Kluyveromyces lactis: one gene and its partners. The protein of the gene in region 2 interacts with the protein of the main gene of each other region in a pairwise test. Links are inferred from orthologs where the notes say so. Each region holds a gene or a part of one and is shown on either strand. Other genes may lie near its edges.

Region 1 (4,862 bases), about 290 kb from region 2:
GAGAGAGAAAGGGAGTCCGCGGTGATGAAAATATGAGCAACTTTCCGTTTCCATCCATGTTTCTCTAAGTTATGAGCTTTTCCTATAACAGTCGCCGAACTGAAACGTTAGAAAAGGACACTACGCGTGATTGTTAGGGGAACTTGAATATGAAAACAGATATACACACGGTACTCAGTACTTTTCCACCTGAATAACTGCATGAACGTACAGGTAATAATATAACAGGTATTATTCTGATTTACAAAGTAGGCTGGGCACGAGGGTCCTCCTTTGGTATATAAAGAAGGACGGACCCTCTGTAGTATCTCCTTCCTTCTCTGATGCTACCTTTTGTAATATGCTATTAGTACAGTCGGACAGTGCCCAAGAGATTAAAAAAAACACAAGATACGCCATAAGCTAAATAGATATGGATGCAACAGAGAAAACAGATATGCCGGAATTGACGGCTAGCATAACGGATCTAGAGAAGCAAGAGCTTCAGTATGAGGTCGAACTGGATGAAGCAGACGAAACCAGTGACAATACAAAACTCATCTTTTCCCAAGATAAAAAGAAGAAACAACCACGAAAACGCCCTTGGACTCCAATCACGTGGCACATAACAATGGCATTGTTGGTTATATACATCATTTCCCTTCTAGTGTTCATCAAGTTCGTGTATCCAACGATGTTTTTGGGTCCCGTTAAAGAAACTGTCAGTGCAGGTCACGTGACGCTCTTTGAGAATCTTGGAATGGCAACGCTAGATGATACAAGCATGAGCGGGTCTCTAATATGACGGAGAAACGGTCACATCTTTTGTTTTGAACGGAATTCTGTGTGCTAATTCTGATAGATACCCTTAGAAGCACAAACTACCTTATATCCGCACTTTTTAGCGCGGTGGAAACTTCGCATGTTAGGTTTAAATACTGTTATCGCCTTTCGTTTCAAAATGCTGCCAGCCAGATAGGAAACGAAAAAACAAAAAAAAGGTCGGCCTTTTAACTTTAAGCTTTTTTTGACATGTATAAATATAAAGTATATAACAATGTGTCAAATCTAGGTTTTGTTTGATGAGGTGGTTATTTGTTTGAAGGGATTAACGCTGGTGGTACAAGCACCATATAGCTGCAATATATAGTACGAGTTATGACGGTAACCATTGATGATAAGACGTTAGAAGAGCATTATTCGAAGTTCTTGAATCGTCACGTTGACAGAAGAGTTATTCTGCAATTCTGGGATGATTATTTGCCCAAGGATGTGAAACCGCATCCAAACCCATATGTTTTGGCAGCTGGTATGCCAAACGAGGGTTTGTTCCCTGTGGAATCTGTGCATGTCAATGTGGTTGAACGTCCGTTCCAGCATTTGGAGTACCCATTCAAAAGTGAAAAGATCCATGTCGGTGCTGCTGGTGAAATCGGTGTCAATGAAGCTGAATACGTGAAATCTAGGGTCGATGATGGTAGTATGGTTGATATTTGGAGGTACGATCCATCTCATGGTGATAACATTCCAATTGCCCAGGCACTACAATATTCTGACACGAAAGGGTTCCCGCAATTGATTGATTTCTCAAAGAAGTTGGTTAGTTACTTAAACAAGCCAGCTTACGACAATTGGGATGTTATGTTAGCAAATGGATCTTCTGATTCTTTATCTAAAGTTTTCACCACTTTAACAGATGAAGACGTTACCGTGTTAATGGAAGAATTTACTTTCACTCCGACTATCTCCAACGTCACTGCAAATGGTGGGATTCCGATTCCATTGAAAGTTGATATCACGGATGATGCTTCTCAGCAGGGTATTAACGTCGAGTATATGGACCAATTGCTTGAGAATTGGTCAACAGGTGAATATTCTCACTTATCTAAGCCTAGACTGTTATACACAATCGTCACAGGGCAAAATCCAACCGGTATGACACAATGCAAAGAGAAGAGACAGAAAATATACGATCTATGCGAAAAACATGACATTATAATTGTGGAAGATGATCCGTATGGTTACCTAAAGTTTTTACCCTTTGACAAGTCTGATCCATTAAAGAATCAATATAACGATGGCACTATCACTTTCGATAAATATTGTAAAGAAATATTAGCCCCCTCATATTTGACCATAGACACATCAGGGAGAGTCATTAGATTAGAAACTTTCTCCAAAGTCTTCGCCCCTGGGATGCGTCTTTCCTTCATTGTCGCCAATAAATTTATCCTAGACAAGTTATTGAAATATGCAGACATTTCTGTTAGATCGCCATGTGGTCTTGCCCAAGCTATGACCATTAATATAATAGACAAATGGGCAGAAAATTTCAATGGAGACAAGGTCAGAGCTTGGCTATCATGGGTCATGAAAGTTGCTGGTGAGTATACACATAGAAGAAATGTGCTTTTCCAAGCATTGGAAGCTACACCAGCTTATAAAGAAGAATTATTTGAATTGATTGAACCCTCTGCCGGTATGTTCATTAGTATCAAGATCAATTTTGATAAGTTCGGAGAAATCTCGGATAAATTAAAGGCCATGAATTTCTTAAACTACAAGTTGTTGGAAGAAGGTTGCATTGTAATCTTGGGTTACAGAATGGCAGTTGACAAGAAATTTTCATATGACAGGTCCAACTTTTTAAGAATTACATTTGCTATGGCTCCAGATGAAGAGCATTTACAAACAGCTGCTGAAAGGCTAGGTAAAGGTGTTGAGAGATTCTTCAAAGAGTATCACAACTGAAGGGGTCTGTTTTACAGCTCTTTCTGGTAATTGCTAATTTTCAACCTCACGTTGCACCATAAAAACAAAAGTTAGATACTTATATATGAATGCATAATTACAACGTGAAACAATAAACCTGATAGGGCCGTGAAATATGTCCCAACTGCTTTCTTTTGAGCATGAAATTGTAAAATTGCATGACATAATTTTGCATGTCAGTAGTGTAATTTGCAAGATAAATCTTTAGAGTATGTAAAAGTTGAATAAAAAATAACAAGAATGGCTAAAAGTACAGATGAAAACAGTACATGACATGAGTAGACACAGAGACATCTACCACATCTTACACGCAACACACTAACTAGAAATGGAATTACTACCGGAGGGTCAAAAGAACACGGTCACCGTTGCATACGAAGATCAACAACGTATCAATGAGTTCTCCAAGTTGATCATGAGAAAAGATGCTATCGAACAAGATTTGACGCAACAAAGAACAGAGAAAGAGTACCTCGACGACGTATCGTTGGAAATTGAATTGATAGACGAGGATGAGAAGGTACAATATAAGATCGGAGACGTCTTCGTATTTCTAAAACAGAAAGAAGTAGTTGAAAAGTTAGAATCCGATGCTGAAAACATCGACAGCAATATAGAAAAGCTAGAGAGCGATGAGGCGGAATTGGACTCAAGAATAAAAGAGCTAAAGAGTATATTGTATGCCAAATTCGGTGACAACATCAATTTGGAACGTTGAGCCCATAAATATACATTGCTGAAGTGCTTGATAGAATTGAAAAAATATCCTTAAACCGAGTAATATATGTTTGCGTATAAAATCTACATAGAAAATAATAGTAAAGACCGACACAACGTTGATTCAGTCCATAATGCAATCAAACAGCATGTTCTTTCAGCCCACCTAACGCATGAACCTCCTGGTCTTCTTCTATTTCAAGCCCCCAATTAAAATGTTGGTTCATTTCCTTGAATTTAGCGACAAACTCTTCTGGCAAATCCAAACTAAACCCATTGAATAATGTATATTCATGCGTTATAGTCCCATCAAGTTCATGTGCCACATTCACTAAATCATTGTAGTATTGGAAGCTGTCAGGATATATAACCATAAGTGAAGATACTGTATTTGACGATGACGATGATGATGTTAGTAAAGTTGAGAATTAAAGGGAAAAAAAAGGGTTAAGAAAATCCGTCCTTAAACATACACGAACTGGCCAACGCCGTTCCAATAAAAATAGGTGCAAATCTCATATCTGCGGCTAATGCTTTGTTATTACTGTTGCTACTCTATTCTTTGTTCTTGCTAACAATCTCCCTTATCCTTCATATATCATGATTCATTATTCTTTTATATGGATATCATATCTCATAGTGAGTATTTGGCAGAAGGAAAAACTGGTAATCAAAAAAAAACAACGTGATCATAAATTAATAAACGTTACCCGGTTTGAATCACGTGTTAATCACGTTCTTGATAGCCCGCCCTGCGCCTTTCGTGTCGGCCCCCGTACGGCTTCCGTTTTTTTAGGTTCGTTTCGTTATTTTTCAACTGATTTCATTCAATAGTTTCAATTTTTGTCGATTCCGAAGGTTTCCCTGTTCCCCACGTCAAGACAGTTGCAACTTTTTTGTGATGAGCCGTCGCCTTTATAGATCACACCAGCGAAACAGCTTTTCACAAAGATACTTCTGTTCACTGTGTTATCCCATTTCGATAATTAATAGTAATGACTCTGGCAGTTTGGAAAGCTCAATAGATTGATAAAAAAAAAACTGGTTCTTCAACTTAAAAGTTGCGCAAAGGAACGATGAAATATAGATCAGTTAAATAAGTGGTCTTCTCTGGAATACTACAGTATTTTTTCGAATTACAATCCGTTCAATTATATAATTGTAGTTTATATATGGTCCGTACCGTAGTGAATCACCAAACCCTACCGCATCATGCTGGTATTTGAGTCCTGTAGATCAATTTTCTTGCTATTTAATTGATCAAACCGTCTAATAGTTGTATTTATTTGGGATCGTAATCTTTTTTTTCCATTCCAATTGACATTAATATAAAAGGAATTCACTAGGATATTTTATATTTCAAGAAATATATCAAGTGAAACCACAGAGAAAGG
Region 2 (6,684 bases):
ATAAACTGGCTCAATGGATTGGAATGATGAGTGAGTGTTACCTAATTCGTTGTCGTTACCGTATCATGTCAATTGTTGATCGCTCACAGAATAGATCAAACATCTAAGTCAAGACAGTCTGCCTACAATGCCTTCTGAATACTCTTCACCTCCAGTTTACTCCACTTCAAATGGGTTTAAATACTCTCATCATCCATACGGTGCACAATACTCGCGTCCAGATGGTCCACTTTTACTACAGGATAACCATTTGATAGAATCTCTAGCTAGATTCGATAGGGAAAGAATTCCCGAAAGAGTTGTCCATGCCAAAGGTGGCGGATGTCATATCGAATTTGAACTCACTGATTCGTTATCTGACATCACATATGCAGCACCATACCAATCTCCCGGTTACAAGTGTCCTGGTATCATAAGATGCAGTACCGTTGGCGGTGAATCAGGGGCTCCAGATACAGCCAGAGATCCAAGAGGTTTCAGTTTCAAGTTTTACACGAAATGGGGGAACCATGACTGGGTGTTCAACAATACACCGGTGTTCTTCATCAGAGATGCAAACAAGTTCCCTCATTTTATTCACACTCAAAAGAGATCCCCAAGGAATCATTTGGGACAGGCTTCTGATACTTCCATGTATTGGGATTATTTGACTCAAAATATCGAGTCCATCCATCAAATCACGTATATGTTCGGTGATAGAGGCACTCCAGCTTCTTGGTCTGACATGAGTGCATATTCCGGTCACACTTATAAGTTTATCAATGCTGAAGGTAAGTTGACTTACGTGCAAATTCATGTGTTACCAGAGAATGGATTCAAGACTCTTTCATTGGAAGAAGCCAATAAGTTAGCTGGTGAAAATCCTGATTATAATAACCAATTGTTGTTCGAAAAGCTAGAAGCCGGTGAACGTCCAAAATTTAATTGCTATGTTCAGACGATGACCCCTGAGCAAGCAGAAAATTTCAGGTATTCCATTAACGATTTGACCAAGATTTGGCCACATAAGGAATTCCCATTGCGCAAGTTCGGTACCATTACCCTAACCCATAACGTCGATAACTATTTCGAAGAAATCGAGCAACTTGCTTTCTCTCCATCAAACACCTGTATTCCAGGTATCGAGCCATCCAACGATTCTGTCTTGCAATCCAGATTATTCTCGTACCCAGACACTCAACGTCACAGACTTGGTACCAACTTTATGCAGTTACCAGTCAATAGACCCGTGAATATGGGTAGAGAAGCTTGTCCATTTGCAGGTGCGAATTTCCAAAGAGATGGGCCAATGTGTATGTTCAACTTCAAGGACCAACCAAACTATATCGCTTCTTCCGGTAAAAACCTTGTTCAGTTCAACACATTGGATGACAACAATGCCAAGTCAACGCACGAAAGATTTACTGGTGTTGTATTAGAAGAGGATGTTGTCGCTGAAATAAAGAGACAAGAAGAAAACCGTGTAGAACATGAACGTGTTGTTAACGGTAAGATCAACGAATATTATATTGTCAATGGTGCATCTCCAGTCGATTTGGAACAACCAAGAGCTCTATACGAAAAGGTGTACAACGACAAGGATAAGAAGACATTCGTCAAAAACGTTGTTGCACATGCTTCTAAGATCTCCAATCCGGAAATTAAGACTCGTGTGTCTCAATACTTCGGTCTTTTGAATGAAGATTTGGGTAAACAGATCGCTGAAGGCCTTGAAATCCAATGGGAGCCAGTTTCTTTCGAAACATATGCCCGGAGAATCAGTATCGCCAGTGCTTTCTAAGACGATATTAGGAAATTGTTCAAAGTGTATGTCAACAACTGTTTCCATAATTTGATGAGATGCTCTGCGAGTTTTCTTAACGATTGAAGACATAATATTTATTAACTCTATTTAGAAAAGGATATATTTCTCATTTATGTAAGGAAAAATTAATGTACATCGTACACTCTTATGATATGAAACGTACTGACTATAATTAATGTCACTTAGCCATCGCTTCAAATGTTTACACAGATGTGTCAGCATCTTTTGTACCTGCGCTTCTGCATAATTTAAGCTTTTTCGTTGGTTCCTTTAATATCGCATCGCATACTAAAGTGAAAAATTGGAAAATGTTGAACTTAGCTTGTTCCAAGCAAATCATTAAGAGGAAAAGACAACTTTGGAAAGGGCAGTACAAACCAATAGTTGCTGCGTGGACCGTTCATTCATTTATAGGGACCAGTTGTTGAATTTAAGAAGCTATTTCTTAAAACTAAGTGTTCTTCCAGGCCACCAAACGGGTATTTTACCACGTTGAATTTTTGTGTTTTTCCTGTTATTGAAGAGAAACAGATTTTGATTCTGGTTCATTTGATCTGCCATGTCCAGCAGTGATCCGAGTCTCTCTTTCATCAGAAGGCATCATTTCAAGGACTCTCTTGCACTTTTAATCGTGTTTTTGAGCTTCAATCATTTTGCATCATTGATCCTATTGGTTTCCTTCAGCATAGTTACCAGATCGAGGAACTTTCTTTCAGAGTGTTTTATCAGATTCTTTCTACCCAAGTCTCATTACAACGGATTTGTCAATGATGATGATTATCAGATCAAACCTATCCAGGCGGTAGCAGTGGCACCCATCAATAATGTATTGTCGGCCAAGACGAGAAAGAAATCGGTGATGGCGAGCAAACAGCAGGCTTCTGCTAGTCCTACCAATTCTACAGTTAACGCAGTCCCCACAAATAACGTGCTGGGAGTTAATGGTGAAACTACGAAGCCAAGATTGAGAAAATCTAAGAAGAAACTGCTATTCTTTTTGATTCAAGAGGCAATTTTGGCATTTATACTGAAGTATTACGGTGATAAATATTTCACTGAACCCATAGAGAATCTTGCTATGTCTATAGTAGCTTCTTCTTTGGTCAATGATCCCAAGGATGCTCTAAGTGTTGCCACAACTAGTTCCATCATATATGCTCTCTCGACGCAATGGATACAGAAGTTGTTATTCCTATTCGACTATGAGAAAGCAGTATTTGCATTCCCATCCAAACCTACCATCTCACGTTGGACATTATTGATAGACAAGTACCCCTCGTTGACTGGGAGGCTACCATCCATCTTTGAATTTCTCACATTTTCGAGCAGATACATCCGATATGCATCGTATTTGGCGTCATTCCATGTGGTGGTTGCTCAAATCGAACAAAATTTAATAGTACAATCTTATGAACGTAAAAATAACGAATCCAACAGTAACGATCAAATAAATCAGGGACCCAGCAACGCATCTCCTACAACACCGCTGTCCTCTTCCACACAGACTAAAGAGGCTCCTATTCCGCAATCATCAAATATGGCACATAGTTCCAGCGCTTCATCCTCTTTTTCCCTTCCAGGTACCAACTTGAACAATACTTCGAATCCTCAGGAACCTGCACCAATTTATTCGTCTTTAGTTAAAGATTCTGTGGTGAATGATATCAGTATTACCTCTCCATCTGCTTCTAATAATCAAACTTGGGTCCCCAATATCACAACCGCATTTTCAACAGAGTCGAACTTAGATCATCAGAATGATCTATCTAACCAAGTGTACAAATTGGAATTGAACCTTGAATCTCAGGAGAATTGTCCCAATCTTTCTACCATTTCAACGGTTAATTTACAAAATTTCGTGAGACAACTTTTCCGTTGGAAGAATCATCACATCATCCCACCAATATGGGCGATTTTCACTGCCACTCAAACGTTAATTTCAGAGAAGCATAACATCCAGGCTTCCAACGATAATGTGACACCATTGACTACGACTGTTGCAGTGGATGATGATAAGATTACTCCTACTGAAAGTGATTCTGTGGCTCAAAGTGTGAAATCAAACTTGTCCCCAGTAAATTCAAACCCAAGCAAAGGTGTGTTCACGAGTAAAGCTATCTCGGACTCGATGACATTGATTGCACCAGCGATGGACGACTATCACAAATTAAACCTTGTTTCCACCGAAACCAGACATGATTATAAAGTTTGTATTACATTCATTGGAGCCAATTCCATTACATTCAAGATAGATTCTCTTTTCGAAGGTGAGTTGATCATTCTCGTTAACGGTGTCATTTGGTCTCAAGTTGGATCTGCAATCGTTCCTAGTATACCGGGACAAGAGTACACCATAGTGAGTGGCCTTGTACCATTATGCTCTTATGACATCCAATTTGTCAACAGGTTGAACGAACTGGAGGACTATTTAATTGCAGACTTAATGGTCAGAACCATTGGTAAAAATGGTGACCAAGAGGCGTTAGACTTAAGTTTCCCTTCATATTACCATAGAAAGTTCCTATCTCCTATCCTAACTTTAAAACATTCCATCTTAACCACCAATGCAAACCTTGCAGATGAAAGGGCCAAAGTGAAGAAGACCAGGAAAGAAGTTACCAAGAAGGTTAATACGATGAAACAGGATATCGAGACATTCAAAACGAAACTCGAATTCAATGTCACCCAGGATGAGAAAAGTGCATCAAAAGTAGAGAATTTGAAGATGGCATTGAAACAAGGTGAATTTCAGACTACGCAATTGGAAGAGAAGTTGAAAGAGTTAACTCAAAAAGAGACAGAACTAGAAGAAGTGTACCTTGTTGAGAAGGATAACCATTTTCAAAGAACTTTAGAATGTAGTAAGACAGAGGATCAATGGAAGTTGAAGTTAAAGGAAGCCGAATCTCAATTGAGCAAATTGAAGCAAGAGTTACAACAATTGCAAGTTAAGAAAAGCAAAAGTGTGAACAAACATGCAAAGTTGCAAAAAGAAGTGAACCAAATCAACGATGATTTCGATAAATATACCTCGACATTCCTAGAGAAAAGGAACAGGGAACGTGTTGAAAGAAATCAGTTAAGATCACAAGAGGCAACTGAATATGAATTGAGAATCAAAGGTCTAGAGCAAGATATCAGCAGACTAGAAGGCGAGGCGAGCCAACTCCATCAAATTCTACAGAACACTGCACCATACTGAGTAGAGAGTCATCCTCTCACCCCATCTCTGTAGTTCATGTAGACGCGTTCATAGGTATATATAAATACGTATTAACGTCAAACAGAAATAATGTATGTATGTCCATTCATGATCGTTAAAGCCAGCTACACAAGTGATCCATTCATGTTTCACGTTTTAAGATCCCCTATGTATCATCTTGATAAGTAAATCCTATCACATTGGTAGTTACTAGATTAATTTTTCTAATTTGTCTCAACAGACCCGGTACTAATGTCTTGAGGTTCTACCTTTCACACATGATTAACATTGAAAACTGTCAATGCCCTTCCAATGATCAGCAGATATTGATAAGTCCCCAATTTCGCCTTTCTTAACGGTTTCTCTAATACACCTGCGTAAATCTCTTAATGTCACTTTTATTTCTTGGATGTCTTGACTTTCTTTACATGATGATGTTTGTTCGGTAACTGAATGTGATCACTTGAGATCCGCCATAACTTATCTTTTATGTAGATAGACGCTAACTTTTCATCATCTAGGGAATTCACGATATGTTTATGGTTTCTAGCAACATAGAGGTTATTCTTATAAAAGGACTGTAATGGAATCATAACCATGTTGACTGACGGAACAAACACCGCTCGCATTTTTATTGTGATTTTGTCATTCATTTTAATGTTTAGGATACCTTCTCCCTCAACAGAAATTTCTTTCATTCCTGCTGCAAGCAATTTAGTTTTGGATTCATCTTTAAAATCATACAGCAAATTTTTGTTAGGAACCAACGCTACTGGTATTCCTGAAGCTAGCATGATGCTTTTGTCTTCCTTGAGATAAAAGCTTTTATGGTCAATGTTGCCTAAGGAGAACTGGATCCTCTCCGGCTGAATTATTATCGTCTGAAGATGTGTTCTTCTTAATGTAATTTGTCTTACCTTTCTTCTCGATTACATCATATTTTTATTGTAGTTCTTACCTGACTTTTTGTGCCTATTAGTACCATTGGAATCCTTGTTCCAATTGGTTCTGGAATTTCTTGGGTTTTCTTCCCTTATCTTCTTCGCTTAGATTCGCACGTTTTGACTTTACAGAGTTTCTAGATTCAAGACTCACCAAACTCAGTGCTGATGGTATGTCTAGTTTATTGTTTTTAGACAGTTCTTGGTTTACCATATATGATCTATCTGCAATAGCTTCCACTGTCATTTCAGTTAAACACTGTAACAGTGAATCTATATCACGGTATTTCTCACGTACATGGAATTTGTGATACATCTTAGTACGTTCTAACCATAATGTTTGTAGGTTTGGTGAAGTCTTATCTTTTTGCAGGTGCCTGACAGCTTCTTTCCATATGTCTATATTTTTATTCAACCTATCATAATCATTTAATAGATTGTATACTGCACTTTCAGGATTAAATCCCATGCCATAAGGTGCCATTTGAACCCATTCTGGACAGCATTCCTTCGGGACACATTCTTCCCAGAAGAAAACAATTGAATTTGATAATTCGTCGTTGTCAATTATATTTATGGACCAGTCATTGCTTTTGTTCGGGATAAAACTCTCTAGTCCCGCTAGTCTCAATTGTCCAATTAAACAGTAAACCCATCTGTTAAATTGGTCCTTTGACTTCACTTGTTGTAGATGAACAGACGTCTTGTCTTGGAACCTGGAAAAGTCATCAAAGCTT
Region 3 (6,843 bases), about 160 kb from region 2:
TTATTATCATTATTATATATATAATATATATATAATAATGGCGAAAGTGCATACAGTAGGTAATTAAAATGTGCTTACTCAAAAAACTTGGAAAATAGGGCCCTTTGGCGGAGCCAATTACCGGAATACCAGCTCGTATGAAGTGATATGACGGAGACTCGGCGCCGACCAGAACAGAAGAGCAGAGAGCACAAAGAAAGACTAAATAATCCGGTCCGGATCGTTAAGAGTGAGTGATGAAGGACGGGAGGATTGGATTTAATTGCACCGAAGGGGTCGCTCCGGGAGTCGAACTGAGGCCATAAAAAGTAAGAAGAGTTCCGGGAATAAGGAATAAGTAATAACAAGTCACGTGTAGAGTACGTTCGTATTACATTCGTATTACCCCGACTAACCCTGTTTTATTTCGTGCAATGCATGAAAAAATATCGCGTTTTCTCGATTTCTCACTGCTTCTATGCAATTTGAGGTTCATCTCTATAATTGTATTTACTATTCTTGATTTGGAATCATGCTGGCATTTATCATTATGTATCCCAAACTCTATTTCTCTCTATTTCTCTCTCTCTCTATATATATAGTACGTGTTAGTGTGTTACTGTACCAACGTATGTTTATGAGTGGCCTTGCGGTGCGTCAATTGGAAAGGACTGCTGATATACCAGGTGACTGGTATACTTGTAAGATATAGACAGAGAATTCAATAGCAAACCTCTCTTTCCTGATGCATGATGAGTTGGAAAAAGCTGGTAGGCATTTGCTGATGGTGAACGATCATTTGTCTGAAGATTCAGTGGAACAGGGTGATATTTGCATGACTCAGGTTCCTACTATGTTCAGCGATGATGAGGATCAAGATGAGGAGCAGGAGACTGAGATTCCACCGGAGGAAGGTGATGATGATATTCTGATCTCTACTCAAGTCCAAGGTGCCATAGATGAACTGAACCACCAGGAGACTGTGGTGCACACCTTCCGCAATGTTCTGTCAAGATTTGCGCTGGAAACACAAGATCAAGCGGATATTCCACTGGTGTCTTCCAAAAAAGTGCCAGTCAAGAAAGTGATAAAATCCTCAAAGGTCAAGCAGCCGACAGCACGATTGCAGAAAAGAATCAAGAGTATTACCCAGTTCAATACAGATAATTGGGAATCAAATAGAGTGAAGGATAGGGCTCAGAAGATGATTTCGATTCTTTCGGGTAAATCTGCCAAGGTTAAAAAATTGGTGTCGAAATTGGACTCGGAGGCATCTGCAGATGCGGAAAGTTTACAGGATTCTCATCCGACACAATTTGCGCCCTTTAATGAATCAGAATGGCAACATATCGTTGGCCTCCTACGAGAAAAATTACCAAAAGTTTCTAGAAGCGAGCTAAACTCGGTACAGCAATACGTATACGGTGCTGATGAACAGCACAATCTTTGGAAAGCGTCTCAGTTATCCCCAGAAAAGCAGATATCTTCTCAGTGCTCAGATGGAGAGTCTGAGACTATTCTTCCAAGTTTAACGTTGGATAACAATGCGCCTGTGTATACGTTGTCTCAACTTGTCGAAGGAGAAAGCAGTAATAACCGGTGCTCAACGGAAGATGGATTGAGGTTCAAACCGATCTCGAACCCAAGCTCTGTCATCGAACAGGAACTACCAATTAGCATAGACGTGCCTTCATCTGAGACGGATGTACCGTCTCAGATAGCCGATTCATGCGATAGCGGGTCTATCATTAGCTTTGAAGAGCTGAGTTTCATGATTCAAGACAAGAACAAGGCAGACGTCGATTACGATATACCATGCTATTTACCACCAGATTCCAAGACTTTACCCACTGGTGAGAAAACGAAAAGGGAATATTCCAGGGCAAACATAAACGATCAACTGATAAACATATCACAAACGTCTTACGATGTAGTGTCCTCCATCGTATCTCCAATGAAGGCCCAAAGAACCGGGACTATTCAGGTGCCCGCAACGAGAACTACTACCTTTCAAGACCAACAACAACAGAATCAGCAACAAGCTTCAAAACCTGCTAATGTCGTCAAGATATATGTTGATAGCAATAGGGACTCTAATGACGTTTTCGCCAGTGTTAAGGGGGAGGTAGATACGCAAGAGCAAGAAAGTTTGTCTACTTTAACTACTTCTATGTTGCATGATGATAATAACGAAATTGTTATAGATAGCGAAGATGAAAGAGGTAGCTATTCCATTATGGAGGTTCATGATGCTCCTCAAACTCATCTTGGCCAGTTCCCCTCTCTACGGAAATCTCAATCTCAAAAATTGAAAACCCCAGTTTCAGCCACAGATTCTCTAGATTCACAACTTCAGCCTGCCCTACTCACAACACAAAATGCATCTCCGAACACCGCGAAGCTACGAAGGTCTTTCAAGGTGATCGGATTAAAACCTTGTAAGAACAAAGTTCAGATGTTGCAAGTATGGGAGACATTGGAATCCAAATTCCCGGGGTCCTCAGATGAGGATAGATCAATTCAACTCAAGCAATTCCTCACGGACCTTATAGTACAAAATCGTGATGAATCTGCATTATTAATGGAACAAATATACACTTTTGAGCCTATTCGTTACGAACAGTTGAAAGAATGGCTAGTATCCTTGAACTCATTCACTGAACTAATCGACGATAGTTTTATCAAAAATTGGGCAGATTTAAACGGGATTGTATTCAGAAATGATACTGAGAACCCCTTGTTGTCACAAAGCCAATCTCAATCTCAATCACGGTTGCTCTCACAATCATTATCCCAACTGCAGTCGCCATCATTGTCTCCATAGTATGTTAGCATCCATGTGTATAATTATCAGCATTTTTTTTTCAATAGAAGCCCAAATACATGGCGTCAAAGGAACATAATAGACTCTCAATGAATACATTGGTCTGACTGCCTATTCAAAACATATACCGAATGTGAGCAAGGCTCTATCAAAGCAAGACAAGGCGAGTCAATAGCTGCATTGTTTATTGAGAAATCCGGGTAACGTTATGCAGTCAAAACAGCTCATCAAAAATTGTCAGTTTCTTTCAGATCGAACGATTCTATAAACAAAACAAACAAAACATAATCGAAAAGGAAATTGGAATCTACGCTCAGTAATCTTTGAAGCATATAGCACTGAAGTCCTTAAACTTTAGCACTGTCCTTCGGTTTTTATTCAGAACGGCAACAATTGAGTGATTTCGGGCAATTTGGAGAAGTGCGCCCCAGAAGCGACAGTAAAATCCCAGGAAATATGTCAGGAAAGGGATCTTCGCAGTCTGATAAACGGTCCAGCCGAGATGAATTGAAGTTTAAATTGAACAGGTTGCAGGAACAACAAAAACATCAAGAAGCTCTTTCTCATGTTAATTCTGAGGACCCCAGTTTACCATTTTCCAATGTCTTGAGTAAGAGAGATAATAGGGCTTCGTTACCTGTTTTTGCAGGAAGCTCTGCTCATGCAGGTGTCATAAATGCCAATTCAGGCGAGGATGTGAACTTTGTTGTTGGTTTAAGCGAGAACTTACTCGTCGAATGCAGACGCTTACAAGCACAGAACGAACGTAAGTCCGCCAAATTATCCTCTTTGCAGGCCGACTATGAAAAGTTGAAAATAAATCTTGAGCGGTTAACAGTGAAGCATGAATCTATGACCAAAAATGAGGATTCTTTAAAGGACACTAATTGGCGACAAGAAATGAAATTGCAAAGTTTATCTAAGGAGTTCCAAGAGTTGACTGAAAACTTCAATAAAAATAAAAGTGAACTTGAAAGGCAGATTGAGCTTTCTAAGGATATGAAAACTGAACTGGAGGAAAGTTCTTTGGAACGTATGGGATTAAAGTCCGAATTGGCTTCTAGTAAAAAAGTTCATTCGAATGAAATTAAGGAGCTGAAAAGACATGTGGAAGAGTTGAACAATGAGAATGATCAGCTGCATAATAAAGTTAACATGTTGAGTGAGAAGGTCACTTCATTAACAAAAGAAATAGAAGAGAGGAAAGGCACCTCTGCACAGGGCAAAGACGATACTGCGATTGCTACATCAGAACAAAAACCATCACCTGCCGTAAAACTGATCGGAGGAGGTATGGAGGGTTCCGATGATAGTTCCTTGAAGAAACCGATTGATTCAAATCTAGAAAATCAGACCTTAAAAGCCAACTTAAATCATGCTAATCAGTTAATTGTAAGATTAAAGCAGAAGCTCAACAGAGTCAAGGCTGACAGCACCATGAACTCTCCATTACCTTCAAAGTCTCCCAGAGGTAAGAATAAAGGCGGTTTATCTTTTATAGGATCTGCTTCTACTCCTCAAAAGTCCAATACTTCCAGCTTCAATTACGAAGTTACAGATAATGAATCAGGTGACTGGAATGTAATACCATCGCCTGGCAAGTCAAGTAATGCTGATATCAGTGATATTGACGCTGAAAGTTTTGTTTCGGAAACTATGGACTATGTGAGAGACCCCATTTCGGAGGGCCCCTTTGAACATGATGAAGACTTTATTAATGAACTTGACTATGAAGATATAGAAAGATACGCAAAAACGCACAATTTCGCACTTGTCCCAATTACTGAACTAGATGAATTAAAAAAATCGAAAACTCCTAGCACAATCTCAGATGACACATTATCAAAGCATATTCTTTCCAGACTTTCTACGCTAGGGTATTTTGATACTTCTAGTTTAACAAATAATGAGAAAGTGGATATAGAAGAGATTTTTAAGCATCCCACTGAGGATTATCTAGTTTCGAATCTGAAGAGGCTCAACCTCACTGCTATCAAAGAAGAAGAGTACCAATCATTGAATGATCCATCGATGGAAACTTTGAAAAAATCATTAGAAAGTAAAGACTACACTGCGTTAAGTAAAAAGGACTATGAGAATTTGCTTCATGCTTCCGAAAGTCCGTCCCTGTCATATCTCGAGAGTAAGGCTCACAAGCTTCAAAAAACCATTATCGACATTGATGAGTATGAAAATTTGAGGAAACCGGATGTTGAGGCATTAACAAACCATGCCCAGTCCAGAGGACTTCAGGTATTGAAACAGTCACAATTGACTGATATAAAAGCTAAATTGGAAAGCCCGTCTGAAGAATATTTGCAGGCCAAAGCAGATGCAAAAGGATTAACTGTACTAACGAAGAGTAAATTGTCCCAACTCACTGAACCAAGTATCGAAGACGTCCAACAGTTAGCTACCACTCACGACCATATTTTAATATCTAACAAAGATTACCATGAGCTACTGAATCCTTCTATCGATAAAGTGGAAAAAATTGCTGCAAATCACAAACTCTCGGTAATACCTGATAAGGATCTAATTGATCTGAAATGCAAAGCTGAAAGTCCAGATATTAATAGGTTGAAAGAATGTGCTAAGTCAAAAGATCATGTTCTTCTTCCAAATGAGGAGCACACCAGACTAATGCATGGAAACACTCATCCTTCAATTGAAGCTATTCAATCATCGCTTTCTAGTGACGATATGGAGTCTTTATTGCTGTGGTTGGCGGAAAGAAAGTCCATAACACCTATACGCACCACTGAGTATCACAAATTAACAGAACTAGCTAATACTCCTCCACTGGATCATCTAAAGAAAGCTGCCAAAGCTTTAGATTACACCTTGCTCAGTCAAGCTGAAATAGAGAACCTAAGAAACTTAGCTCAAAATCCTCCCTTTGAACACCTGAAAGATAAACTACTAGCTCTCAATTATACTATTATCAAACAGGAGGACCTTCATAAGTTGAAGGAACAGCTAGAATCTCCAACTTTGAACTTTTTATCGGAAAAGGCAGCAGAGAAAAACTATGATATAATCCTAAAGACTGACCACTCAGAGCTTTTGAGAAAGTCATCAGACCCGACCATCCAAGAAATGCAGCACTTGGCAGCTGTAACTGGCCACTTGATTGTATCGCAGAGTGACTACGATTATTTGAATAAGACCGTAAATGAACCATCAAGAAACTTCATCATTGAAAAGGCAAAGGATATCGGTATGGTTACTATCGAACAGAAAGAGTATGAAAAGTTAGTTCATAAGGGCAGTGATAAAACAATGTTACTCGAATCTATTAAGAATTTTGGATTTGTTCCAGTCACTGCGCCAGATTTCAATTCCTTTAAACAAAAGTCAATCGACAATGTTGACATCGACCAATTAACTAACAGATTGGAAACATTGGGTTACGTTGCAGTTTCAAAAGAAGGATACTCAAAATTAATGGCTCCCGTTATAGATAAAGTAACTAAAGATGAAACTTTTAAACTCTGTGACAAATACAATCTAAAGCCTGTTGCTGCTGAAGCATACCAGAAATTACAGGAAAGCTCGAAAGTTGCACTACTTTCAGAGGATGAATTGATTAAGAAAGTCAAGGAACATGGTCATGTGGTCTTAGATAGTAAGTCTTACGAAGATTTGATAAACAAATCAAACAATCCACAACTAAAAGATTTATCCAGACACCTCTCAACCTATAAAATGGTTCCCGTACAGCTGAACGAATATGAAAATCTAATGGCTATGAAAGACTCTCCCTCATTGACGTTTTTGAAGGAGAAGGCTAAACTTCATCATCAAACTATGTTACCATTCGATGAACTGGAGGGCTTGAAATCGAAATTAGAGCACCCATCTAGAGAATATTTAGAAAACATGGCTGGAACTCTTGGACTCGCCCTGTTACCAATTGAATCTATTGAAGAGCTCAAGACCTCATATGAAAATCCTTCTATTGCACACTTATCAAATAGGGCAAGCAATATTGGCAAACGTTTGATCGATCAACAGAAATATGACAATTTGCAAAGAAA
Region 4 (5,844 bases), on a different chromosome or scaffold from region 2:
TTGGTAAAAAGACCGCCTGCTGTGTAGAGAGCATGGGACATAGTAAGAGAAGTAGATCTAAGCATTTATTTCTCACGGAACGCGATGAATGTGTTAAGAGCCTGTCTGCGTACGTCCAAAACCTTAAAAGTAACATATAGGCATCCCTTGATATTGGGGACTCCCATTTCATCTCATCTTTCGCCTCCCCATTATTCACCGAGGAATTGTTCTCCGATACAGCATCTTCTTCGTCTTCATCTTCGTCATCGCTATCCTTTTCAAACCTTTCCTTGAAAAACTCCTCGGCCGTCTGTTCAGGTGGTTCTACCTCAGCAATGCTACCATAATCATCTGCAGCAGTTTTCTCCTGATCCAATACATTTAATACTTGTTCGATATTAGACATACCCCATGGCTTGAAGGAATCCTGGTTCCAGGTTTTGATCTCGATAGATTGTCCGCTCGATTTGCTCAAGAAAGTGTATTGTATCTTGTATGAAATCTCTATGAATAAGTTCAATAGTACAGTGCAGAGGTCATCGTATCCATGATAATATCCTAACATCCAAAATAGCTTCTCTAGGATATCATTCAAACGTTCCACAAGATCGTATCCAGAAACCTTTATCACTACACGAAGAACCATATATGCACGATGGAATAGACAATTGTCAAGTCTAACTGAGATTCCGTCAATTATGTAATTAACATTATCTTGAAACAAATTTAGCATTGCACCCTGGTAGAATTCATTGGCCAAATATTGAAGAATATTTCCCGAAATGAATCTTGTGTTCTCATCATCGCTTGCGAAACATTCAATGACATTATAGATGTAATCTAACATTTCATCTTTGAAATCTTTACCCATTAGAATAATCATTTGTTTCATAGCAAACAAATTCATAGTCAAATTGGTGCGCTGCAACTCGTTTAGTTCCGTTTGATTCGATAAAATTGATACCCGCTCATTTGCCATTTCTATAATGTCATATTGGCAGGAGATTGGGTCTGAATCATGCGCAAGAAAATCACTTATGTCAGTGTTTTTATACCCTGTTAATAAAGTTGAAGCTATCCAAAGAGCTTCGTTTGAGTTTTTTAAGACATCTGATTCTATTGAAAGAAACTCAATGATTTGTTCTTGTATTGAAGAGGCGCTCATCTTGGATCCTAGTTGCAGTAAAATATTTGTAACATTTTCGTACGCTGTAGATGATATTTTCGGAATTATGGAAACTTCAGAATTATTAAGAGATCCCGATGTTACCAAGTAGTTTACCTCTGAACTGGTAACCTTAATTAAATTAATGTTCTCTGTTTTGTCTAAACTCAACAAATGGGTTTTCAAAGAGTCATATATTCCATAAGCAACAGTTTTTGATATTTGATATTCCTCAAGCTGATCTGTATCCAAAATTCTTAATGCATTATTCACAATATTATATTGGTTGATTTCTTCGAAGTTTGTTTCGACCTGAATATTGTTATCTCTCATGAATGCTGCAATATCGTTCTTGAATCTTTCTAATGCAAAGACGTTATCCCTTGCTACTGTAAGAGCCGTCTTTAGTATAACTTCTCTGCACCCATAAAGTGAATTATGGCATTTATTAAGTAGTAGAACACAAGCTTCAAATAGTTCACCATTCAGTTTTTCATTATTCCTTTTAGTGAGCTTTGAAAAGGTGGGTTCAAGTGCGCGTTTCAATTGAATTGATGTGGCATTTAACCATTTGGTAGTTCTGTGCTTTCCTGGATTTTTTACTTCAACAGCAGTATTTCCTGTAGACGTTTTGATGAAAGTTTCCAAAGAAGAGTCACCATATACCATACACAATAGTTCTGACATAGTCGATAATACATCACTTGCCACTTTCACATGAGTAGTCAACCCTGGACGAGAGAGAATCTTAGCAAATGTAGAGACATTTCCGGGAACCACATTACTTAACATTTCTCCGTCATTTATTACTCTGTACAGTAATCTTAGTGTTTTTGAGCTCTCTAACTGGATTGACATATTGCTATTTTCTAATAATGTTAACAAAATGGTGATTGAGTGTGCAATTGCTGGGAGCATATTTGCATCCCATTCCTTGAAAGCTGCTGTGGAATACAAAACTCTTAAAAGTCTGATGGAAGCAATCTTGAATTCGTCTGGTTTATTGGGAAGGTTGACATTTTCTAGATCGGTAGATATTAGAAAGGTTGATAGGGAAAGAAGCTGCGAGAATGTGTTCCGATCCACTGTCGCCGGTAAACTCCACGAAACGTCTATTATTCTCGCCAAAATTTCGAATACTAATGTTGCAATTGGGTCCGGAAGTGATTTACACGTTTTCAACATTGCAGAGATAGGCACAAACACATAGTCTCCAAACCTCCCTGAAAGCGATTTGTGCTTAGTTATAAGGATATCTAAGTTTTGAATCAAATCTTGTAGTAACTGTTTTAACTGCGGATCCTGTAATATGAGTAGCTCATCTTTCCTGAAGGTAACTTGGGAGAGTCTCACACAGATTGGTTTTATCTTTCCAAAGGCTTCATCTTTAGTTCCTGCATGTTCTGACCGAACATGCTGACCTTGTGTAAACATAGTAGTATCTCAAGCGGCTTCTGATGATATATTTTTATGCTATGTCAAAAAGCTGTGACGGTAACTCGTTATGTTTAACATATATTTCGAGAATAAGGCAGATCATCGCGTAAAAGATGCATTTCATTGAGAAGGCTTAAGTATATCATTAAAATCACGTGATCGTTTTTTTTTCCATTCTTCCTTTGGCAGGTTCTCATCCCGATTGTTGATATTCCTAGGGATGAGATGACTACTGGCAACAGCTAATATGACGCCAAGAGGCGAACCTTCGTACAACCAGAAAACTTTACATTTTGCCTACTAGTTACCTGTCGGGTCTAAGAATAATCCATATGGAATATACATTACTTATCGAGGTAACAGAAAGTCTAGACGATTGTTATAAGTTTTTTAAGTCTGGCAAATTGACTTTTGAGCGGAAGACTGATTCTCGTATTGAACAGAGTTGGAACCATATTCCAATGCTAAGTTTACATTCTTGTAGTAACAAAGTTTCCATCGAATCCGAATGGTGTGGCCATGGTATTATACGGCTTTTCAAGAATGGCCACGCATCAGTTGGTACCTTTGATGATAAAGAACTCTACCGGGAATTAGGTGATGGAAGGATGCTAGCCATACTATTTATTCCAAACTACTTGACCATAAACAGACTATTGGGATGGTTTATTGGAGAAGAAACAACCAATCAAGTGACGCATTTACAATTAATAAAAATGAACAAGGAAAAAGGACGGTTTATGCTTTTGATGAAATTTAAGGAACAAAGCTTGGCGAAAGAGTTTCAGAAGCTCTTCGATGGGAAGAAGTTCAATGAAATTGATCCAGAAACATGTCATGTGGTAGCAATTAAGGAGCTTATATTTCATCAAGGAATGTTTAGTGAAGATAAAGATGCTCTCCCCTACATGTTAAAATATCCGTTTACTCAGAGTAGTTCAGAACAATCTGATGGTTTAATAGAACTACCTATGTGTCCTGTTTGCCTAGAAAAATTAGACAGCGAAGTTACTGGATTAGTCACAACCCCTTGTCAACATACGTTCCATTGTAAGTGCCTAGATCAATGGAAAAACGGTAATTGCCCTGTCTGCAGATACTCACAGTTAAAAGATGTTAATAATGAACCACTGCCGCGTTGTCTAGAATGCGGTGAAACGAACAATCTTTGGATCTGTCTAATTTGTGGACATCTTGGATGTGGTCGTTATAATTCTCAACATGCAATATGCCATTACGAACAATCGAACCATTGTTTTGCAATGGATTTGACAACAAAACGGGTATGGGATTATGCGGGGGATAATTACGTCCATCGGATTGTTCAAAATGAGATCGACGGAAAGTTGGTGGAGGTGGGTGAATCTCATGACGGGAGTAATACGAAAAGGAATAAAGAGTATCATTTGGAATACGTTCAAGTACTTTTGTCTCAGTTAGAATCTCAGCGTGAGTATTACGAGGGACAAATTTACAATATGCATGAAAGAGTGAAATCGCTCGAGTCTGATATGCAAGTCAGTAGACAAAAAGATGATCACAAACAGTTAAAGAAACTCGTTGAAGAAAGTATGCAAGAAATGAAAAATCGGCTTAAGGAAGAAATGCTGCTCAACTCCGGACTTCAACAAAACTTAGATCATTTAACTAAACAGATGGAAAAATTTAGCCTAGAGAAACAGAAACTACAGGATGAAAATCAAGAATTGCAGTCACAAATTCAAGACTTGATGTTCCATTTTGAATCCCAGGAAAAGTTTGCAGAGGATTCAGAGCTTCAAAATGCAACGTTAGTGCTTCAACCTCCTCCAGGTTCCGAAGCATCTTCCAGTGCTAAGAACAAGAAGAAAAAGAAGAAGAAGATTCCGAAAATACCCAAAATATGATAAGCAAATTACTACAATTAGGCCTTGTATGTGCAGCTTTCTAGATAGAATATTTAAAGTTCAATAATTGATTCTTGCATGTCAAAATCTCGACTTCCTACGCCATTTATACCGGCAATATTTCCACAATGAAACTGAGTCTTCCTTAGCCAACCAAAGAGTCTTTCTCTTCCAATCATGAAAAAGAAAGGAAAATTTTTTCCTCATCTAAAAGAAGTTCCGGATGCCAAAGAAAGGTTTTTTGATGAAAAGACTTAAGATGAAGATGTTTGAAGTTGGGAGGAAATAGGCAGGTTTGGTTTTGGCTTGAACTAGGTAATCTGCTTCGTTTGTGCTCCTGATTCGATTCACATACCCCCTCGTACTTCAGTTTTGTGAAGAAAAATAAGCAAACTGTTATAACAAACACATCATTTAAACACTTTTCAATACTGATAAGAAAATGGCAACCAATTCTATCAAGCTTTTGGCTCCCGATGTGCATCGTAACCTAGCCGAGTTAGTTGCTAAGAGGTTAGGTTTGAAGCTTACAAATTGTAAGTTGAAGAGGGATCCCAGCGGCGAAGTATCTTTTTCCATTGGTGAATCTGTTAGAGACCAAGATATCTTCATTGTTACACAGATCGGATCTGGTGATGTGAATGATCGTGTCCTTGAGCTATTAATAATGATTAATGCATCAAAGACCGCGTCTGCTAGAAGAATTACAGCTATTATTCCAAATTTCCCATACGCTAGACAGGATAGAAAGGATAAGTCTCGTGCTCCAATTACTGCTAAGTTGATGGCTGACATGCTGACCACTGCTGGTTGTGACCATGTCATCACCATGGACTTGCACGCTTCTCAAATACAAGGGTTCTTTGATGTTCCAGTAGATAACTTATATGCTGAGCCTTCAGTTGTAAGATATATTAAGGAAAATGTTAACTTCAAAGAAGCTATCATTATCTCCCCGGATGCTGGTGGTGCCAAACGTGCCGCTGGTTTGGCCGACCGTTTGGATTTGAACTTTGCCTTGATTCATAAGGAAAGAGCTCGCGCTAATGAAGTTTCAAGAATGGTCCTTGTTGGTGACGTCTCAGACAAGATTTGTATCATTGTTGATGATATGGCTGATACATGTGGTACTTTGGCTAAGGCTGCAGAAGTTCTGTTGGAAAACAAAGCCAAGTCCGTCATTGCTATCGTTACCCACGGCATTCTATCTGGCAAAGCTATTGAAAACATTAACCACTCAAAACTTGATAGAGTAGTTTGCACAAATACTGTTCCTTTCGAAGAAAAGATGCTACGTTGTCCAAAATTGGATGCAATTGATATCTCTTCAGTGCTTGCAGAAGCTATTCGTCGTTTGCACAACGGTGAAAGTAT
Region 5 (6,630 bases), about 600 kb from region 2:
GTGTATTTCATTGGTTGTAAATCTCTTTTGATTCATTATCAACTTCAGTTGGATTATACTACATAACTACGTAAGCGCTAAATGTTAAATAAATTATTAGTCTTTTAACATATGCAAAGAAGAGATCCTTGTTTAAAGTAGTACCATCTATTATGTATGTACTTATGATTTAGGTGTATTAAATTGCAAATAATGTTACATCAATCTTCATCATAATTCTCGAGATTCAAACTAACCATTCTAGAAGAGTTATCTTCTTGTTCCCGGAATATACCAACTAGTGATTGGGATTTTTCAAACATAGCATTCTTCAACGATATAACGATGAACTGGGCATTTGGATTAGCATTCCGCTTAATATAATGTGCTATTCTTTCAACATTAGTGATGTCTAAAGCGGCATCTACTTCGTCCAATACAAAGAAAGGACTGGGTTGATATGAATTGATGGTGAACAACAAAGCTAAGGCGGCCATGGTTTTTTCACCACCAGAAAGATATTCCATATCCTTAAACCTTTTCAACGGTGGGGTCGCAAAGTATTTAATTCCGCCTAAATATGGTTCGTCCTCATTTTCAACTGTTAAAGAAGCATTACCACCGGCTAGTTCGGACTTATCATGTGGATTCTTGGTCAAAGCCCTGTAGATCTGATCAATGTGTTTATCAACATGTTTGAAACACGCTTCAAATAACTCTTTACGTTTAGCTTTGACTTCAAGAAATTTCTCTTTCGCTTTTCTTTCTTTATTCCTCAGTCTCTCATTCTCATTCGATACTTGATCTAATTTGTGTTTTGTCTCATCGTATCTTTGAACAGCTTTAGAATTAGGTTGTAGAATTTCTAATTTTTCTTCCACCTTTTTAATCTCCGATTCAAACTCTTCTTTCACTTCTTCGCCATCATTTAGCCTGTACTTCTCCGGTAAAGAAGTAAAATCATACTCGAGATCAGAGATTATACCTGTATTGTTAGAATCCAAAACATCAATGGAAATATCTTCTAACGACGAATCCAGTAGCGGTAGCTCTATGTTAGAGACTTTACAATTCTTCAGTATACCTAATTGTTCAAGGTCGAGTGTTTCAATATCTTCTTTGATTTCATCCACTTTTCGTCTTGCGGCTTGCATGCTCGATTGAATTTCTGCAATATTACTATCAAATGAAATTAGATTGTGCACTTTTTCATCTAGCTCCTTTTGTTGAATGGCTACCAGTTGTTGTTCTTGTGAAATTTTTGAGTCTGCATTCTTGATCTTTTCCGTTATTATGTCCTCTTGTTTCTCTAATGAACCCAGAGCCTCTTTCAATTTATCCATGTCAGATAAGGCTTTTGTATGACGTGCCGCAGTAGCTCCCAAACGGTCCTTTTCGAATTCCAATTTGTTCTCAATGGTGAGAATCTGTTTCTGGAACTGTTGAAGCTCCTTGGAGTGCTTTCTCATAATTTCGCCAGTACCTTGTTCATAGTCTTTAATTGAGAAGCCATATTTATCGGTGAAAGGTCTAAAAATCTGTTCTTGTAAAACATCTTTCTCACTTTCCAACTTAGTTAATTTGCTCTTCAATTCTTCGATACGTTGAGTGAAGGATTTAAGCTGAGGTTCGTATTCTGTAGTAATCAAATCCTCGTTATGCTTGATTTCGACATTTTTTCCACTTAAAGTTCTTTCAAGTTGGGTGATCTGAGTTCTCAAACTCGAAATCTCATTATTTAACAAAGATATTTCATTCTCCAGCTCTCTGGATTTCATGTTATCAGCTCTGAATTTGTCTGATAGCGCTGTCAATTCTTCGGTAATTTGATCTTTCAATACCATCAGTCCTTGGTATTCATCTTTATTCCATCTATTCTGGTTTTTCTGTGCCGTACCACCAGTCATTTGTCCAGCTTTATGTATTAAAGCACCATTCAATGTCACTAGTTTGGCCTTGACATTTCTTGACCACTTTAATTCTTTAGCTAGGTCTAGGTTATCACAAATAATAGAATCTGAGCACACATATTGCATTGCCTTCTCAAGGTAGCCTTCGTATTCGATAGCATTAATAGTCAAAAGGCAGCCTTGTACGTTCGACACCGGCAATGATGGTGGATTGACGTCGATTGTATCAAGAGGTATGAAAGACGCTGAACCGGCTCTTTGCTTTTTAAGGTACGTGATACATTCGTGTGCGGTAGCAATACTGTCGACTATAATGGAATCAAAGTTTTTACCAAGTATCGTTGATACTGCAATCGCATACTTCTCTTTTTTCGGATGACATAGATCGTGTACTAATCCTTTCACACCGGGATATAATCTCTTAAGCATAGAAACATTCTCTCTTAGTTTTCTTTCCTTCTTGGTCTCTCTTTGATCAGCGTTAAGATCGTCAATTTTCAGAAGTACGTCTCTCAAGCTAAAATTCAGTTCATATTCCTTATTCTTTAGGGACTCAAGATTAGTTTGAATACCTTTCCATTCTTTAGACTTAGCAGCTGCTATCGAGTTTTTATCATTCAACCTTTGTGTTACCTCGTTGAGATCTGCTTCTAAAGCATCGACATCGACCTGTAATTCGTCACTTATGCGTTCCCTGGTTGTTTTCAGTCTTTTGTTAATAAGTTCACTCTCTTCGTTTAGTTCAAACTCGTCGTTTTTTAAGATAGCCAACTTTTCCTCGATATGAGAGCCTCCAGAACTTAAATACTTCTCTTTCAATAGCTCATATTGTTTTAAATCTTCTTCAGATAAATTGAATTTATTGAGATTGGCATGAATATTTTCTAACTCTTTCTCAAACGACTTTTTTGTTTTAGAAACTACCTTCAGTTGATTTTCGAATTGTTTGACATAAGCTTGTTGCCTTTCCATATCTTTCTTGAATGAGGATATTCTTTTTTCCAAGTTATGTATTCTCTTGATGGTAGCTAACCTCTCGCTTCCAACAGGTAGTAAAGATGACTGTAACGATGTTTTTTCATTTTCTAACTGTACGAGCGTATCTTTCAACTTACTCAATTGCAGTTCATGTTTAGCCGTTGTGGATTTGATTTTGGTCAGTATTCTTTCTTCGTCTGAAAGCTTGTTCTTCAACGCAGTCGTTTCAGTTTTTGAAACTGTTAGAGAATCTACCAGTTTCTTCCTTCTTTTAAGGATATGGAATAGTTCCCATAAAATAAAGTTATGTTTCAACTGATCTCTAATTTCTAAACTCGTTCTATATTGCTCATCCCGTTGGACACCTTCTTTAAAACTTTTCAAATCGTTTTGCACTTTTTTCCTTGAATTATGAGCGTCTGTGAATTCAGCTAAAGCCAGCTTATGCTCTTCTTTCAATTTCTCATAATCATTCTTATAGTTTATAGATCCAGAAACCTGCTCCAATAATAGCGTCAATGATTCTGGTCCCTGAGAAGCGATTCTTTCGACATCACCTTGGAAAACCAAAAAGTTTTTCGCCTTGACCAAGATGTTTTCGGATTCTAATTCCTCGTTATATTTTTTATAGCTCACAGCTCTATCGTTGATTTTGTAAACGCTATCACCAGATGTATTGATGGTTCTTGTGAATTTTGTTGGTTCATCAAGATCATCTTTTTGATACACGCAACTGACATATGCACTTCTTGGTTCTTCCTCCGAATATGTGGCATTCTCTGGACCAGCTTCCGAATCAGCGTCGGATCGGTGCATTCTCTTAGCATTGCCGTTATCTGGATCGCCATTTTCAATTCTGCCCCTGTATATCAAATCTACAAGCGCCGATGACCTTAACTGATTACTTCTCACACCTAACACAAAGGAAATGGCATCCATCAGATTCGATTTACCAGAACCATTGGGCCCAATGATGCTGGTGAAGTAAGACTCACCAAAACCAACTTGCACCGTATCCTTATACGACTTGAAATTATGCAGCTCTAACCCGATAAGTCTACCCATCTTGGAACACGAATATCTCTACAAATCAGCGAAATAAAACAAAAAATGATCACAAGTTTATTAGGATAACTTGTACTGCAACTTCAATTATAAGCGGCTTGTTGCAGCTGATGTAGATGGTAAGCTGACCGAATAAGCTACCCATCCTTCAACTAACACGAAAAATCTTAATGTAAATAGATATAAACGCCTTTCTTATTTTCATTTTCTAAATATTGCATTGACGCGTTCGAACATATCCGGGTAACTTGGTGTTTCATTATGTAACTTAATTGGGAAGTTTCCGTTATAATCCGTCCATCCATAAAGAGGACGGAGGTGCTAGTTGCACCAAGGATGTACAGAAGACAAGATCGGTATGAAGCTGACACCCTGATATACAGTTCACACGTTCTGTGGTTTTTGAAATTCAATTCGTATTATATCGGTTTTTTTTTCTGGGGTTTTGCTTTAATTAACTGCATATGATGATATACTTATATGTATATTTATATGAGGATGTCTGAGATGGATGGAAAAGTCAGTATTTGGTTCTTTACACGCCTGTTTTCATCTGAACAGGCTCCAGTTGTGGGATGCTAGCGTAGGCATTGGACGTGTCTCTGTTGTTCATCAATCTGAAGAAGTACAGGTTGAATTTGTTAATATAGAAGATGGAGACCACGCTTAACAATATGTAAGTCATTTTCAAAATGGCTTTTGGTACATAACCCCAGTTTATGGTACGATACTGGATCACGATGTTGACTCCTAGTAGGAAAATGACACCGCAGCTCAACACAAGTACAAAAGCACTTACAATCAGACCTACTGATAGTTCTTGTGTTCTTAAGGCTTCCACGGTTAAATTTTCTTCAGACTGAGACCCAACTTGTTTGTTCCTCTGGCTAATTCTCGATGAGGATGATGACGCCGATGATGATCCTTCTTGCTGCAATGACATTTCAGTGTGTTGGAGGGGTATTTTGGGAGTGCTTAAGTGGGTAAAGATTCAGTCCAATCCAAGACGCTATGCTTGAGTAGGCACTGGAATGTTGCAAGAATAGGTGGACAAAATCGAAAGAGGTACTTATATTGTGTAAATTTGACATTTTTTTCAATGTGCAACTTACTTTTTTCCTCATCGCAAAACACACCCGATTAATTCCTTGGCATAATTTTCCACACCTAGGGATGACCCTATCTTGATAAGAAGACATAGATAGGTAAATGTTGAGAACTGTATATGTCTGGTATAGTAGTCGACTGTATCCACCAGTACTGGGGTGGCTGAAAAGTTTGTAACACGTAGAAATAGTATTGAAACTCCTATATATGTCTTAGGGATAGGTGATGCCGTAGATAAATTAATCATACAACTTTTTTATGTCTGCTGGCATTGAAGAGAAGAGAAGAGAACAAAGATACAGAGGATTGGTATTACAGAGTTTATTTGATGGTAGAATATTTCCATACGGCGAGATACCAGATGTGGTAATGCAAGTTAAATTGATAGTTAATGTTAAAGAGTGGAAGACCAAAGTGACGTTCGATATATTTGATGGTCGACTCTTGTTCTAGTCCGGGTTCTGATAGTCTTGTCACCATTCCGAGCAGCAAAATCCAAGATTTCTACGTAACTGTGTCCCACTGACTCGATCGCAGCGACTAATTTTCTGTTATTTAATTTGATACCCCACACTTGTTCCGAATCTGTGAGTAGCTTCCTGTGTATCAGCTTACCGGTCCTTAAATTATATACATTGAATTGTCGTTCCGATCCACTAACCAAAATGTTATCGTTCATGGAGAATGAAGTGATAGCAGCCAGGTTTGTATGATGGAACGAAAACTTTCTTGAATAATCATTTGGATCCCAGCCGCGTATCGAACCGTCTGCAGCAGCGCTAACCAAAAATTTATTGGATAGGCAAAGTAGACCAACTAAAGCTGTATGTCCATAAAGGCATTTCATGCTTCCAACCACTTTGATCGATGCACCGTCATTGATTGTAGTAGTTGTCCCATTATTTTCAATGTTTTCGAGATCCCAGATCATCACTGTGGTATCCATACTTGCTGATATGCACCTGTTCCTCTTGTAGTCATAAATGGTCGAGTACACACGGTCGGTGTGACCGGTTAGAATATATAGTAATTTCATACTAATGATATCCCATACCATCAAATTGTGGTCATATGAACCACTTATGACAATTCTACCATGACCAGACACTGTCCTTACCGAAGACATGTGGCCTCTTAATACCCCAACAAAATATGGGTTTTCCTCTGGTGTCCTGTAGAAAATAGGTTCCTGCGATCCCTTGTCTAGCTCTTTCATGGGGGGAAGTTTCCACACATGCAAGGTATTGTCTCTAGACCCCGTTACAATGTATTTGCTGTCACCATATTCAACCACTTCTAAACATCTAACCGTCGATGTGTGTCCTTTGAAAACATGGGTACATTTACCAGTTTCGATGTTCCAGATTCTCACACTTCTATCTGTGGAACCACTAACTAAAATCTTACCGTCCACAAATTTCAGTGCCCACACACCGCCCTCATGTCCGTTTAATTCTAATAGGAACAGATCATTCTCAGCGTCATACACGTTGATCTTCTTATCGTCTGCTCCGGTAATAATATAATTGTTTTCAAATTGTAGACATGTTACAACATTGGTACTATGACCATCAAGACAAGTCCTCCCTGG

The links.
Region 1: the proteins of NNF2 (region 2) and GIM3 interact in a two-hybrid assay, tested with the Saccharomyces cerevisiae proteins (2 studies listed by BioGRID). The link is inferred for Kluyveromyces lactis from reciprocal best matches to the Saccharomyces cerevisiae genes NNF2 and GIM3.
Region 3: the proteins of NNF2 (region 2) and NUM1 interact in a two-hybrid assay, tested with the Saccharomyces cerevisiae proteins (2 studies listed by BioGRID). The link is inferred for Kluyveromyces lactis from reciprocal best matches to the Saccharomyces cerevisiae genes NNF2 and NUM1.
Region 4: the proteins of NNF2 (region 2) and ETP1 interact in a two-hybrid assay, tested with the Saccharomyces cerevisiae proteins (2 studies listed by BioGRID). The link is inferred for Kluyveromyces lactis from reciprocal best matches to the Saccharomyces cerevisiae genes NNF2 and ETP1.
Region 5: the proteins of NNF2 (region 2) and SMC1 interact in binary tests that used the Saccharomyces cerevisiae proteins (3 or more experiments, as listed by UniProt). The link is inferred for Kluyveromyces lactis from reciprocal best matches to the Saccharomyces cerevisiae genes NNF2 and SMC1.

What each region holds. Positions count from the first base shown.
Region 1 is NC_006040.1:947,111-951,972, forward strand, and holds GIM3 (tubulin-binding prefolding complex subunit GIM3), read left to right. Parts: upstream 1-3,079; coding exon 3,080-3,469; downstream 3,470-4,862. Other genes in the region: KLLA0_D11088g (uncharacterized protein), read left to right, coding at 413-784; ARO9 (aromatic-amino-acid:2-oxoglutarate transaminase), read left to right, coding at 1,138-2,730; KLLA0_D11143g (uncharacterized protein), read right to left, coding at 3,609-3,853, 3,942-3,987. UniProt on the Saccharomyces cerevisiae protein: Binds specifically to cytosolic chaperonin (c-CPN) and transfers target proteins to it. Binds to nascent polypeptide chain and promotes folding in an environment in which there are many competing pathways for nonnative proteins.
Region 2 is NC_006040.1:1,240,120-1,246,803, forward strand, and holds NNF2 (Nnf2p), read left to right. Parts: upstream 1-2,363; coding exon 2,364-5,006; downstream 5,007-6,684. Other genes in the region: CTT1 (catalase T), read left to right, coding at 128-1,780; KLLA0_D14762g (uncharacterized protein), read right to left, coding at 6,626-6,684.
Region 3 is NC_006040.1:1,396,654-1,403,496, forward strand, and holds the start of NUM1 (Num1p), read left to right. Parts: upstream 1-3,259; coding exon 3,260-6,843. Other genes in the region: SLX4 (Slx4p), read left to right, coding at 725-2,803. UniProt on the Saccharomyces cerevisiae protein: Controls nuclear migration. NUM1 specifically controls the interaction of the bud neck cytoskeleton with the pre-divisional G2 nucleus. Functions in dynein-anchoring.
Region 4 is NC_006042.1:2,387,852-2,393,695, reverse strand, and holds ETP1 (Etp1p), read left to right. Parts: upstream 1-2,916; coding exon 2,917-4,470; downstream 4,471-5,844. Other genes in the region: TTI1 (Tti1p), read right to left, coding at 1-2,581; ribose phosphate diphosphokinase subunit PRS3, read left to right, coding at 4,913-5,844.
Region 5 is NC_006040.1:642,551-649,180, forward strand, and holds SMC1 (cohesin subunit SMC1), read right to left. Parts: upstream 3,933-6,630; coding exon 201-3,932; downstream 1-200. Other genes in the region: KLLA0_D07524g (uncharacterized protein), read right to left, coding at 4,468-4,875; SCF ubiquitin ligase complex subunit CDC4, read right to left, coding at 5,434-6,630. UniProt on the Saccharomyces cerevisiae protein: Involved in chromosome cohesion during cell cycle and in DNA repair. Central component of cohesin complex. The cohesin complex is required for the cohesion of sister chromatids after DNA replication.